2 linked regions of the Drosophila melanogaster genome follow. The protein of the gene in region 1 interacts with the protein of each later gene in a pairwise test. Each region holds a gene or a part of one and is shown on either strand. Other genes may lie near its edges.

Region 1 (7,657 bases):
ATGAATTTCGCGAGAAGTTGTACCCCCTCATCACGGACAAACTTTCAAATGACGTAGTTAGGAGAACCCTAAAATTAAATGAAACCCGAACAGACCCCGTAGACCTACAACCAGACACTTTAGTCCTTAGGAAGGAAAACAGACGTAATAAGATTACACCCAGGTTTTCGATTCACAAAGTCAAACACGACAAAGGTCATACATTGATAACTGCTAGGAATCAAAAACTACACAAATCAAAAATTCGAAAAACAGTTTTGAAAAAAGACAAAAGCAACAACGTACCCAACACTGATAATAACTGACCCCACTACCTCTTAACTTACCATTTCAGGTTCACCCTTGTGCCAACTCAGGCTATCCATGTCCATTATTTAAATGATAACGCCCCTATAGCCAAGATAGAACTAGGGAAAGCCTTACTAATTGAGAGGTACAAAATAATTAGTCATGTAATCAACCTACAAGACTACAGCAGATGTATGGAACAATTCCATCTGACCATTAATAAATTTAACCCCGATTCCACGTTGACGGACTCCGTCACAATTTTAAAAACCAAATTAACCCAAGCCCAAGTAAAGCTCAAAGCCCTTACACCTTCATATAGAAACAAACGGGGTTTGATTAACGGATTGGGGAGTCTAGTAAAGGTGGTTACCGGCAACATGGATGCCAACGACAATAAAGAAATACATGAAGAACTTGACAATATAAAGAAAAATTCCGAAGTCAGTAACGACAATCTCCAAAAACAAGTAATGTTTAACAACGAAATACTTATCCGGTTCGAAAATATCACGGACCATATAAATAATGAACAAATTTTGATAAGTAAATTCTTTGATACCTCACAAAACAAAATATACAAACACTTAAACTTACAAGATACCCTTCTGGAAGAAATACAATATTTAAATAGGATTAATTATAACATAGAATTATTCATTAACCACCTAAACGACATAACAGAAAGTATGCTATTGGCGAAAATAAATATAATTCCCAAGTTCATCCTAAATGAACAAGAAATGGATAAAATAAAAACAATACTGGAAAAACAAAATATCACAGTCAAAAATGAACAAAGTATATACAATTTCCTACAAATGAATACACTAAATTACGAACAAAAGATTATTTTTAATATCAAAGTCCCAATTTTTAAACAACCTTTTCATACCCTCGCCAGACTAGTTCCATTACCAATAAATAACACATATTTTGTAATAACCCCAAATTACCTAGCTTATAATATTAATAATAAGAAATTTCATATGACCCGTAAATGCCCCAAACTGGATAATACATTCTTGTGCGACGAGAACTTCTACGTTGATACACCACAGAACAACACATGCCTGGAACACCTTTTGAACGGAGAAAACAGTTCCTGCGATGTACGGGAAACCGGCCCCATCACCGACGTGTTCGAGGCAGAGAGAGGTTACATCTTCGCATTCAACGTGAACAAACTGAAGGTATCCCTAACAAACGGCTCCGAGCTCTCAATAATGGGGTCAGCCATCATCAGATACATTAACGAAACAATACAGATTAACGGTATCGATTACGACGGCACGGTTGACACGTTCCCTGAACAGACGGATTTTGATCTTCCCCCCATGCGAAAAGTAACTAGGAATACCACTATTACGGTACTAAGCCTAGAAAAACTGCACCTCGAAGCCACCCAAACAATGGATAAAATCCTGGCCGTCCATCACAATACTATACAGCACACCTGGACACTCTACACTCTGCTCGGATTGGTAACGTTCCTAGCAGTCATCTTATGGCTGCACCGACGAACGAAACACATCGTCCACATCCACGAGGATCATCACGTACCAATCTACGCGTCATCCATACCTTCGCTATGGCCGTCACTTCGAACTGGGGGGGGAGGAGTTACCACCCCACCCCCTAAACCCCCACGCCTCTAAACAAATCATCGGACACTCAACCGGGAAGACGGCAACTGGAACACCGCATCCGGCCGAATGCTGACATTCCGGCCGAATGCTGACATTACACAAAAGTCGCACTGCAACATTGTCCCCAGCTAGCCAGCCACATGCCGAGTCGGCATGTTCATTATGCTTACAATTAAGAACCTATGTACTTATGTATAAGACGAAAACGGAGGACTCGAGTAGCCACTCTCTGACAATAAACTTCATACTGATTTTGAACTTCAAGAAAGTCAGTCGTATTCTTTATTGGAAATCTTCACACTACAACTATCTGCTGAAACTTAAAAACCTTCATACATTTACACATCATATCTTCACAAAAGGCTCCACCCTCGATCACGGACTTAACTCCCGCCCTCGCTCCCCCTCGCACTCTTTCAATGTTTTCAAGGCGAATAATGCAAGAGCGCCCCAGCTAGACGTCTCGCTCTCGCACAGCTGTGTCTTGCTAGGGTGGAGAGAGGGAGAGAGGTGTTTTACTCTTACAGCTGAGCTGCCACGATTTGTTTGTATACAGAATGAGGCGCACACACACACGCGCACTTGCTGTTTTTCTTCTTTCGCTTTTAAAGCTCTTACTTCCTTTTTTTGATTCTAGTTTACAAGGGCTTATAGTTCAAGCCGCTGTAAATAATCCAAAAACTCACCTGGTACATGGCCGTCTTGGGCAAATCCAGGCAGACGGCACAGCACAGGGCATTGGAGATGCGGTGGGCCAGCTTTTCGTGCATTCCCGAGGCGGCTGCGGCACTGGAAAGCAAGCTGCTGCCGCTGCTGCTGGTGGCACCACCGCCCCCTCCGTCCAACAACTGTTTCTTGGCCGGCGGTTCTCCGCTGCCCTGCGTGTCCAGCGGCACGCCCACCACATTGCCGCCGCCCACCGACGAGGAGGACGACGATGTGGAAGAGGAAGAGGCCGAGGAGGCGGAGCTGGTCGTGGCCACCGCCTGGTTGTCGCCCAGGAGCGGTAGGTTCGAGGACGACGGCGGCTGTTGGACCGCCGAACTGGAGGATTCCACCGACATGATTGGAAATTTTCTTGGAATAATGTTTGTTGTGTTTTTCTTTGCCACTCGCTTCGTACACAAACTCCCACACACACGACCACTAAACTACTACACACACACAAGCAATACCCAGTTTGCTCTCTCTCTCTTTCGCTCGCACACTAAGTATGGCACTTTCTTTCAATTGCCACCTTTCCCCGCTGTCCGTGTCGTGTCGTTCTCTTCTGTGTTCTTCCGTTCTGTTCTGTTTGCAAGCTTTTTGTCCGCCGACACGTCCGCTCGCCAAAAAATTTGTTGTCTTTCTAGAGAGTGTTGTGCGGTGTGACCAAATCTTATATTAGGCAAAATACTAGTATAACGTATCGATGTTATTGGCAAAGCCTATCGATGTTTTTCTATTGTCTGTGTTTCTCCAGCCCTGGTTGATCGTTAGCAGGGACACCATCCCCTTTACAAAGTAATAAAATAACAAATATTATTAAATTAACCATTTCAAAATAAAATAGCATTAAAATAATATAGCAAAATCTGCCTTCATATATATAATTTTACAAGTATATTATTGAAAACGAATCCATTCGTGTTTAATGTGCTGCCCTTATATCCGGCAGTACGGAACTCGTCACTCGCGAGATGCGGTCACACTGCTTGCGGCAAACGGAAAACATGTAAGAAATTAAATATTGTGATTTTGTCTTTAAAATGTACAAAAGTTTGACAAAACACAAACGGCAGGTTCTTTATGAAGTCACCTCTCGCAAAGTGAACTATGACTGGTCAGTGGAGGTACGGAAAACGTGGATTAAAGAGCGAAAAATCGCAGTTTTCTCAGCAGACATTTTTGTATCACTTCGCTGTGCGCTGTGTGTTTGGCATTTTTTGTGTTTGTGTGTGTGTGTGCAACAGCGGCATCAATTTGAAAAATAACAAAAACAAATCGTTGGCGTGTTGAACAAAAAACTATACGTATTTGCTATCTGGCTTGCGTTATAAGAACCATTTGGACAAATTGCGTCTTAAAAATTTGGTGACCAAGATGGCTTCAATTTCATTTTCGGTGGTGAATTAAAAACTTTAATGAAAATAAAAACTTAATGAATTGACTTTTAATTCACGTGCAATTATTATGAAAATTTTTGAAAATTAAAATAAAAATATTTCCAAAAACGTTGTAACAAAACTACACTTATAAATTGGCTTTTGGCTTGCTTAGTGAACTTAGTTAATTATTTCCAGCTGTTCCCACTCAAAAAACAAATCGTATACATATGTGTTCTTATTTCCTTTGCTCCTGCTTTTTCTCTTCCCCTTCTTTTCGTTCCCTTCCCCTTTGCGTCCTCTTCCCCTTTTCCTAGCCAGCTGTTTGTCGCGTTCCACAAATATGGCTGGAGTGTGGATCGCGTTTGGAGCCCAGGCTCCCACATTTCTCTATGTGGAACGCAACCTGTGGCCAGCTGTTGGGTCCTGTTGAACTCCCCCCAGCCAAAAACTTACATATGTATATGTATTTATTTTGTGTATATATGCATGTGTGTATAACAACGCCAATTGCTAGGGTTTCTGCAAAACGTCCTGGCCACTTGAAGGTGAAGTGTTACAATACCATAAAGGGGTTTCGCCATTTTTAAAAGTTATTTTATTACATTATATTCAATAATGGAACTTCAGTAGCGTGTCAAAGGATTTCTCTTTGAAAGAATACGTATTTCATATCCAGCATTTATCAGCTGAAAAACATGAGGGACTTTATACAATCTGTTAAATTTCTTTGCATAAAATGATATATATGTTAATTAAAATTATTAACAATAGCTAAAGTCCATGTAACCCCTTGAGCGCGGATGTTTTCCCAACACTCCTCGAATGGAATCCACATCCACTTTGTTGCACACACAGCTGGCAGTTGTTGTTTTTATCCGACCTCCTGTGCACACACACACACAGACGGACGTACATGTATACAACACTCGGGGGTCGTTTGTGGACTCCATTTGGCTTGGCTGTTGGATCTTCTTTGCGTTTTCTTCATTCGTGCAGCGCCAATCGCGCGGTGTGTGTGTTGCGTTTTTCTTATTTGCAAAATCGTTGGAAAATGGTAATGAAAATGTATACAATATAGCAACAGCAGCTCCTTTCAAGGAAATATCCTCATTAAAGTAATTACGGTACTGAAAGCAATTCAAAAGCTAACAATGAAACAGGCAATTAACTACACAATATGTTGGCTTAGGTTCAGTGTGTATGTATTTTGGATGGTGTTAAATATAAAACTCTAAAAATATGAGTAACCAAGTGCGAAATGAAAAAAAGTGTGGAAAACGTAAGCAAATATGCGCGCAATTGTGTCTGTATATGTGTAGGAAAAAGCGTCCTCGTACACCCACACAGACTCACTTTGGAAAATTTAATGAAATCCAAGCTATACCGCCCTCTCACTCCCACTCACTGTTGCGTTTCGGGATTTCATTTTGTCGCCCCGTTTTGCAAAAACAAACAACTGTTTTTCGCTTACCGTTACTTATTTTAATTCAATGTTCTTCTCTTTCTCGCTTTTTACAGTCGACGCGCCTCAATTGTTAATCATTTGCCCGAAAATGCATTTCAACTGCAAGAAACTTACGTGAAAAAGTGAAAGAAAAAAATATTTTCGAAACGTACAATGTGAAAATGTGTTATTTGAAACTTAGCAGTTAAGCGCGGATTGTATGTATTATTTAAATTTTTGTTTCAATATTTTCTACAAAATTATTAAAAAGAACTACAAAAAAATCGAAAACAAAACGAAAAAACCAAGAAAAAGTTTTTAACTCAGTGCACATTAAAACGAAAACAAACGCAAAAACAAAGCGTAACGAAACGAGAAGGACCACGAAAAGAAAGAGAGCGCACGAGGAATTGGCGAAGGCGGGAGCGAAAGAGAAAAATGTCAACGTTCTTGAACAATTTCTTCCCGGCAGGTAAGCAAAAACAAAGCCAGAAAAGCAAAGGAAATCAAACACAAGCAAAGACAGGGAACGTAAGAGCAGAACCACAGCTGGTGGCAGGAGCGTATTGGAGAGGGGTTGGCGGGGTGAAATGACCCCCCCATCAAACAAGTTGTTCATATACATAGTTATTCTATGATTGTAATAATAAAATTGGTATGTTTATGAGCTTAACTCAGTGATTAATCATAGATCAGCTTTCTTATATTGATCGGTTAGTACGTTATTTTATCTGCCCCTTTTTAAATCCTTCGCACGCCTCTGGCTGGGTGGCATTTAATTGAAAGTCACCTTTGGCATATTTCATAAGCGTTCTCACCGGGGTCATCCTGTAATTCAATTCTGCGCCTCTCTTGTTTTTTCTCTCCACTGGCGGCATGTAAATTGAATTTTCCTACCGAAGCGCATATTGTGATTATTGGCAATTACATGGACGTGACCGAGGAACAAAGGAGGCGAAGGAGATAAGTAGGCAGAGAATGCGAGAGTGAGAGAGAGAGGGATAGGGACGGGATGGAGTAGCGGCCTAGAACAGAGAATCTTGGCATAATCAATCTGCCCCAAAACAATCTATACACTTCCCTTTAATTACGTACATTCCTCGCTGCAATACCATCGATTATCGTTTTGTTATTCCTGGAAACGCTCAGATTCCCATTTACTGCTCCTTGCAACCCCTCTGGGATCAGGAACAAGTTCCACACACTCTGCATTCTCCTCATGCATTTTCTTTGTCCTGCGAAAGAGATGGTCATAGAGAGGCCGAGACAGGGAAACTCATACAGGTACGGCAGGAAAAACCACTTCCTCGCTTCCCTGCCCTTTGCCAAAACCAGAGCCAAAACAATGAGACCAGCACAAAGGCTGCTTTCCAACGGGCACTGAAGCTTGGGATACTCTCTTTAGGGTGACTTTGTACAGTGTAACATTAACATATTATCCCATTATACCATAAATATTTGATCGTCGAAAGGATATTGTACAGGATGTCCTAGGACATTCAGGGTGTTTTTCACAATCATTCTTTACCAAGTAGATTCTGTTTCACATTTCTCAATAAAAATAATTTGCACGAATAATAAAAAGCGGTAGCAATACCAATTTGGGATCGAAGGATTAAGCTAGATGGCTTTAAGCCATCTTAGCCAAGTTAAAATCTCCGAATTACAAGAAAGGGTATAACAACAACCAAGCAGTCTAAGTAAATTGGTAATAGGTGGCAGAGGGGGTTGGCTGGGCTGAATGAATGCACTCGCAAACCCGTTTGCAGAGCCCAAAATTCAGACCGATCAAAACAACAGCGAACCAGAATTACAGCGCTATCAACAATGGCAGCTCCTTTCGAGCTTTCGGTTCATCTGGCTTTCTGGCTTTCTGGCCTGCTGAGCTGAGGCCAACGGCAGCTGACGGAAACACATTGACTTTGGTGATACGATGATGCTGATAGGATGGACAATGGTACAATATGATGGCGCTGGTTACTTCTGGATGGTGCTGCGTGGCCTGTAGGTGCACTGGGTTACCTGTTGATGGCCCTGCCACTCACTCCTTCTTCTCCGCTTCCTTTTCCGACGGCGTCCGTTCTGGTCGAGTGCGGTGGAAAACTGGTTTACCAACTCGCTCCTTCCATCTTCGCTTGTCCCTCCTTTGTTTTGGGCCGATTGGGCCGAGCGTAAACAAGAGAGGCTCA
Region 2 (6,520 bases), 5.2 Mb from region 1:
AATTCGAGTGGCGCACGTTGGGCGAAATTGTGGGAGTTTGACCATTACAAACAGATCGGCCGCAATTTACGCAACAAACAGCGAACTGAAAATTGGAAAGACGCGACGGGCAGGACAACCGCAGGACCTCCAACTGGAGGTATAAGGAGCTCCGGGAGCTGTGAGCTAAGCGGCAACTGGAGACCGACAAAAGTTTATGTGAAAAACAGACAATTAATTTGTTTTGCAGCGCAAAAAGGACACGAGGACAACAACAGGACTCGGGCGTCGAGGACACAGGACACCAGCGGACAGGACACCAGCGGAGGGCCAAACAATTTCGTGCTCGTTGGCAAAGGAAATTTACGTGCCAAAGACGATTGGGAGAACGCAGCTCTGTCCCAAAGAAGTCGAATCCGGACCAACAGGACGGCACAGTGTAAATGGTCAAACATTTTACGCTTTTTGTTTAATTAAAATTGCAACAGGCTACGTAGTTCTCATTGCAGCAACAGGAGGATGGCAAAGAAAATCCGAAAATAAAAACACTGAAAAATATTCAAATATATGCTACATAGTTATTTGGAACTCTGATACTCATCGAAGATTTTTATTTATATTTTAAATATTTTATATAAATAATATTATTGTTGGGCGAAGAATGTACATATCAAGTTGATCGTGCTTTATCTATAACATTTTTTTTTTTACAGTGCAGCCAAGTCAGCGTTTTTCAATTAAGCTTGCATTTCATTTAATATAGGAGAGAAGTCTGCAACATTAGTGCTGCCCTTTGCCGGATATTCTCTGTTTGTGTTTGTCCAGTTATCCTCTATTTGCTTTTGCCGTTGCCAAAGGAAGGGGAATCCCCCCTGGCTGGCTTTTGTTTCTTTGGCGAAGAGAGAAAACCTTTTATAGCGGTTATTAAATTGCTCTTTAAGTGCTTGGCACGGGGCGTAAGCTATTTGCCCTATCCCAGGTTGTTACCTGTTACCTGTCCTCCGCATCAGTTGCTCCTCCAAATCCGCGTACGTGTTGGCATATCAATTCACATTACGGTCCGAATAACTGCATGCATTCATCTGCGCCAAGGAATCCCGTTCATATCAAGCAGGATTCGTCCGGCGGCGGGTAGGGAGAAGAAAGAGGGTGACATCGCCGGGAGGTTGGACAGGATGTCGGAGATACGCTGCCATTGGCACTGACATAACCCCATGTGCAGTGTATCACGTTCCAGTCATTTGGTGGCTGCCACTTCATAATTCAATAAAACAATAAAAGCAAAATCCTTACAAATTACAGCAATCAAATCATACGACTTACATGGGCATCAGTGATGACAATTCAGGGTCTGAATATTTTGCACTTTCAAATATCATTTAGTATGTGAGCAGAAATATTATACATATCATAGGTGCTGAGATTTCCAGGAATACCGGCAATACTATCTGAAATATTAGTTTTTGGAATATGGAATATATATATATTTGGAATATAGAATGAAAAACCTGCTAGGAGCACTAGCAGCACTTCCCTGGAAATGGAGGATATTGCGCTTCCCGAGCATATTTCCATAAATTGGTCACAATTTGCTATGCGCAGCAGCACGGAAGACAAAAGCCCTGAAAGGACGACGCACACACATAGGAAGGAATAAGCACTTGGCGCGCGATGGCAGCCGTTAAAGGATGGGCAGAGTCACCCAAAATTATGACGCCAAGGATAATCGTAGTGAAGCGAGTATGTGTTTCCCACTCCGCCGGGGAATACGTGAGGCGACTATAGTAGCCTCGGGATACCGGCACACGAATCGTGGCCAGAAAGTAGTTACTGTTTCTACTGCTCTACGCAATACTTTATTCATGGTACAACCGATATCTATCTCGAAAAGCATTGGTGCGCGTGGGATAAAATGTGAGTTTGACAAATGTATAAGGCTTATGTACTATCGTTGGAAATGTACTATGGCGCCCTTGGAAATTGGCCTACAATGTGTAGATGGCATTGACATTGGGTCCATGGTTCACCATGGCATCCTTGTGCACCTGGTACTGGATTTCCATAATGCCCAGATGCAGCAGCTCCTTTATCTGCCTGCCAATGGACAGGATAGCCTCTACATTGCGAGAGTCCTTCGTCCAAAGGGCTGTAAAGAAAGTTGACCTTAGAGATACCCCAATGTGAAATGCTGTCTTATACCCACATAGCTTATTAGCCTTGTTGCGCACATTGATGACCACTCCACATATCTCGTCCGAGTGCTGGAAGCACTCGCCAATCATGCACAAAAGCTAAAGGAGATAATGCTTTATAATGCATTGAGCTTATAATTATGGTGCAATCATGTGGCTTACCAAATCGTGCCACATCTTATCTATATAGGTCCTGGAGGCCTTGTCCAGGAGCAGTATCCAACGACCACCGTTCTTATTGGTGTCATCCTCCCACATGGGACTAAATATTTATATACATAAGACGAGGTTCAAAGAGCAGACTTTCAGAACTCACCGAATATTTTTCTTGAAGACCATGTAGTCATTGAATATCTTCAGATCCGATGGCGGCTTCACAAAGTAGTACACACTGTCGAAATAGAATAGGATATATATATATAGGATATATATATATATATATGAATCTGTGTCTGACCTGAAGAAGTCCTCAACGGTGTTGAAGCTGGTCACATCGACGAGCATTTCGGCCCAGCGCTTGGTACGATCGTTCTCCAAGTGCCACAAAGTCCAGGTATGCTCCAATGGATGCTTCATGGCCAGGTCGTAGTCGATGTTTTTCATCACCCGGTTCAATGAGGGCTGCAACTCCTCCTCATTGCCGCTCATCAGTTCCAAACCATCATAAACTGCCAGACCATGTGACCAGTCATTGGGATCTCCATACGGCACCCATGCTAAATATATTCGATTCGCATATCGAATGATGAATCGTAAAAAAAAAGATCTGCTGTCAGCTTACCAGTTTCCTCAGCATTCTGCAATCCGTTGCTTACGTAACCGGTGTACACCATTGTTTTTTATTGATTCAATGCGATAAACGAACCTTTTTTTGTTAGTTTTCTCGTTTTATTTTACTAAAAAAAACTCCTTGAAATGGTATATGTCTCGTGCAAAGTATAAGCGTTAATGAAAATGGCTTAACATGAGTGCACACTTTGACAAATCAAGATATGACAGCTAAAGCGTTGCCACCTTGGTTATGAAAAAGTATTGGAAAAGTCATGTGACCATCTCGTTGCGTAATATGCTTATTTTCAAAAGACTCTATCCCTTTATCGCCTTTATTATTTAAAATATTTTATGGTACATCCTGCCATTATTTCATCAATAAATCTTGTATCCAAGTCTTAAGCACCCCATTCAAACACTCCGATATTGCAGCTCCCATTCGCACATTTTGGTTGCAAAATCAAATTGAGTCGGTTAAGTACGAGCCCGAGGGTCTATCAATTGAAATGTCACGCTAATAAAATAAAATGCCACCGAGCATACGATAAATGCACGAAAATAATAAAATGTGACTCAAATGAGCGACGACGACAGCAACCACAGACACAGACACGGCCACACAAAGTTGGCAGCCGGAAAGACGGATACGATTGGGAATGGAACTGGAGCGAGTAGAGGAATCCCCCTTTCTTGTCTGCTCTGGCTGCTCCTTGTGCAACAGTTTGGCCTGCAGTCAATAATCGAAATCGACTTGGGCTTGTGGCAATAAAAATTTGTCTTCGCCGCTTAAGTTGTGCGCCTTGTTGCACACACAAGGTCCTGGGTCCCTCCGTGCCGGAGTCCTTTGGCAAAGCCCCACACCTCACCCCTGCCCGAACCCATCACCACGCCCCTGGCGGCGGTGCAGATAATAAAATATGTGAGTCGCTACGTGGCAGCTCCTTTGGCGTTGGCAAAGTAGCTTTGGGCCCTTGTAATGTGCACCATTTGTTGCGCGGCTGGTGGTGCGGTGGCACCAACTTGCACTCCAACCAAGATGCTCCGCACCAGCTCCATCTCCGTTTCCATCTCCATCTGCTGGATGCACGGGTGAGTTATGCCGGCCAAGTTTGGAACAAAAGTGTTGGCACTGCTCCTTGTTCTTGGTTCTCGCAGCCAAATAAGTTGCCAGCCCCAATTTACTTAAAAATTCTATTTATTTTTGCTTTTAAGCAGCTTTGGCGGCTGCTCCAGCTCGTATTTCTGGGATTTTTTGAGGAAAAAACTGCTCCAAATTTGTTTCGTTAATTGGGAGAATAAGTTAAAACAAGGAATTGTAAAATTTTAGAAAGTGTTTTAATATCTAGACTATCTTAACTTAAAGTACATTTTATAAGCTCGTATCGCACGTTATTCCCTTCCTCTCTTCACTTAAACAATAGATAAAACTTTTTCAGCTACTGCTGGTTTTTAATATTTATATTTTTTGACATGCCTGTTTATTCCTTGAATCCCATAACTAAAAATTACCTGCTCCAAATGGAGTTGGTAGCCCATAAATTCCCGAGAGGGAAAACTTTAGTTCCAACTCTTTTTTTGGGGCTTCTCCCCCATTCGAGTTAAGTTGCCGGCAAACGCTTAGCTATGCTTTGTTAGATTTGACTTTGTGCTCCGCTCTTCTCAGGTGGCACTTTGGCGTATACGCAATATTTTACAGCTTTTTGCACTTTGCTGGCTGAGCTGAAAATACATGGTCAGTAAATCTTTTAAAATATTGTAATGTTGAGGGAGTCTATGGGGGGATGGCTCCCGCACCAGCTTAAGCGATTTGAGTGCCGAAGCAGTAAAAACGCCCACAAACTGCCGGGGAAAACGAAGGGGAAAAGCGCGTAAATGGGGCAAACTACAAGAAGAAGCCAAGGATCCAAGGACTCAAGTATCCAAGAGCTAGGACCTCATCTTGAGGCAGTTCTGTGCAGACAAGCGCATGCAAGAAATGAAAATGATTTGAGGCATTATGTTCGCTCCGGTTTTACCCCGCCATTTCTCGTTTCGCTTCCGTTCGGCTGTCTTTTCTTCTTTTTTTTTATTTGTTTTTTTTTTTTGGCTACAAAATTGCTTTGCTGCTGCTTCATGTTGATTGTAAAAGATTTCAGTGCTGAAAGCACAAAGCATGCGATGATGTACGGAACGACGCACGTCGTACATTTTGCACCTTGAAGTGGCAAGCGGAGGAGATGCTCTCCTCCACTCCCGCTTCTCCGCCCCATCCACTGCGGGCAAAGACAGCCACATAAAACAATAAAAAGCAGTGGTAAGTGTCGGGGATGGGTAGCGACAACACATCCTGCACATCCAGCACCTTAAGGCCAAGCCAACTGACAGCAGCTTCCGGCAGCCCCCAGTCCGTCTGCTCCATCTGGCCCATTTGCTTCAGCTGCCACGCCCCCAGTTGTCGTTTGGCCCTCTCACCTGGACAAAAAGATACAGGTGTACGAGGCTTAAGTATTGCCACACTAGAAGTGAAAATTTTAGTGGCTCTAGAAAATAGTTATTGATTATTATGCCAAATCATTTTCATGTTTGTTTGACAGAATAATTTCTTTACATTTGACCCAATTGTATTATAAATCATTAAATTATTATTTTTAAAATTTGATAATGTGTTGTGCTATCTATTTATTATGGTTGGATGTAAATATTATTGAACATGTAATTTTTATTTTATTTTTTAAATATTATATTTGATCAATATAATATGAAATATTAATATATTTGATTAATATATTGATTATCAAAATTATCCAGCTGAGCCTCTCCTATTATTTTGCCCATGGGTGTCCGTATATGTGCCTCTTTGCAGTGCTAAATACTTTGGACCAAGACGACGCCTCTGGGCGCTGGCTACCCCGACTTGGAGCTATAGCTTCTATATCTTTGAAGCCGCTGCTCGAGGCCAGGTGAAAGTCATTTCACGCTGTGTGTAGCGCAAAAGATTAAAATAATAGCAGCGCGTAAATTAAACAGTCCGTTGGAGCCGAAGCGTAGGTGCCAGATGGGGGATTTTAAAGGGCAATGGAAAAAGGATGCGGGGACATGGCAATGCTGAGCCATTGAAGTGGCAGCCATGGCCACCTCAACCCAACCCACCTCATTGCATCCCTTTGTTTAGGGCTGCGGTCTGCGCTAAGACGCTTACCTGGCGCTCCCCCCGCCACAGCCGCATCCTGTCCAAAACTCCGCACCCGACCTCCTGTCCTCCAGGACATTGCCAGCATTGCGTTGTCAGCACTTCATTTTGATCCAACATGCCGCGTGCTTCACTTAATGCGTCGACTGCCAGTAAGCCCGCATTTCAGAGGGAGTTTGTGATGGGTGGGGGTTGGAATGCCATTCGGGTGGAGGGGATAGCTTGGGTTCGGGGTGCAAAAAGCTGCTTCTTCATCATGCACATAACTACAAAGGCGGCTGCATTTCTTTGCAGGAAGCAAAAACTTTCAACAGGCGACACAAATTAAATAGTAAGAAGGAATAGTTTGGAAGAATATTAAAGAAATATAATAGTATTATTATGTTAGATAGTTTAAGAGCCTTTGAAA

What was found. The genes of interacting proteins can lie anywhere in the genome.
Region 2: the proteins of PAN3 (region 1) and eIF4E3 interact in a two-hybrid assay, tested with the Drosophila melanogaster proteins (2 studies listed by BioGRID).

What each region holds. Positions count from the first base shown.
Region 1 is NT_037436.4:3,067,539-3,075,195, forward strand, and holds the start of PAN3 (Poly(A) specific ribonuclease subunit PAN3), read left to right. Parts: upstream 1-3,594; 5' UTR 3,595-3,769; intron 3,770-5,008; exon of another isoform or gene 5,009-5,222; intron 5,223-5,542; 5' UTR 5,543-5,906; coding exon of another isoform or gene 5,907-5,940; intron 5,941-7,657. Other genes in the region: CG32486 (uncharacterized protein), read right to left, coding at 2,624-3,001. UniProt on the Drosophila melanogaster protein: Regulatory subunit of the poly(A)-nuclease (PAN) deadenylation complex, one of two cytoplasmic mRNA deadenylases involved in general and miRNA-mediated mRNA turnover.
Region 2 is NT_037436.4:8,225,866-8,232,385, reverse strand, and holds eIF4E3 (eukaryotic translation initiation factor 4E3), read right to left. Parts: upstream 3,163-6,520; 5' UTR 3,005-3,162; coding exon 2,953-3,004; intron 2,888-2,952; coding exon 2,629-2,887; intron 2,563-2,628; coding exon 2,488-2,562; intron 2,434-2,487; coding exon 2,334-2,433; intron 2,271-2,333; coding exon 2,183-2,270; intron 2,126-2,182; coding exon 1,965-2,125; 3' UTR 1,818-1,964; downstream 1-1,817. Other genes in the region: CG7213 (uncharacterized protein), read left to right, coding at 230-422.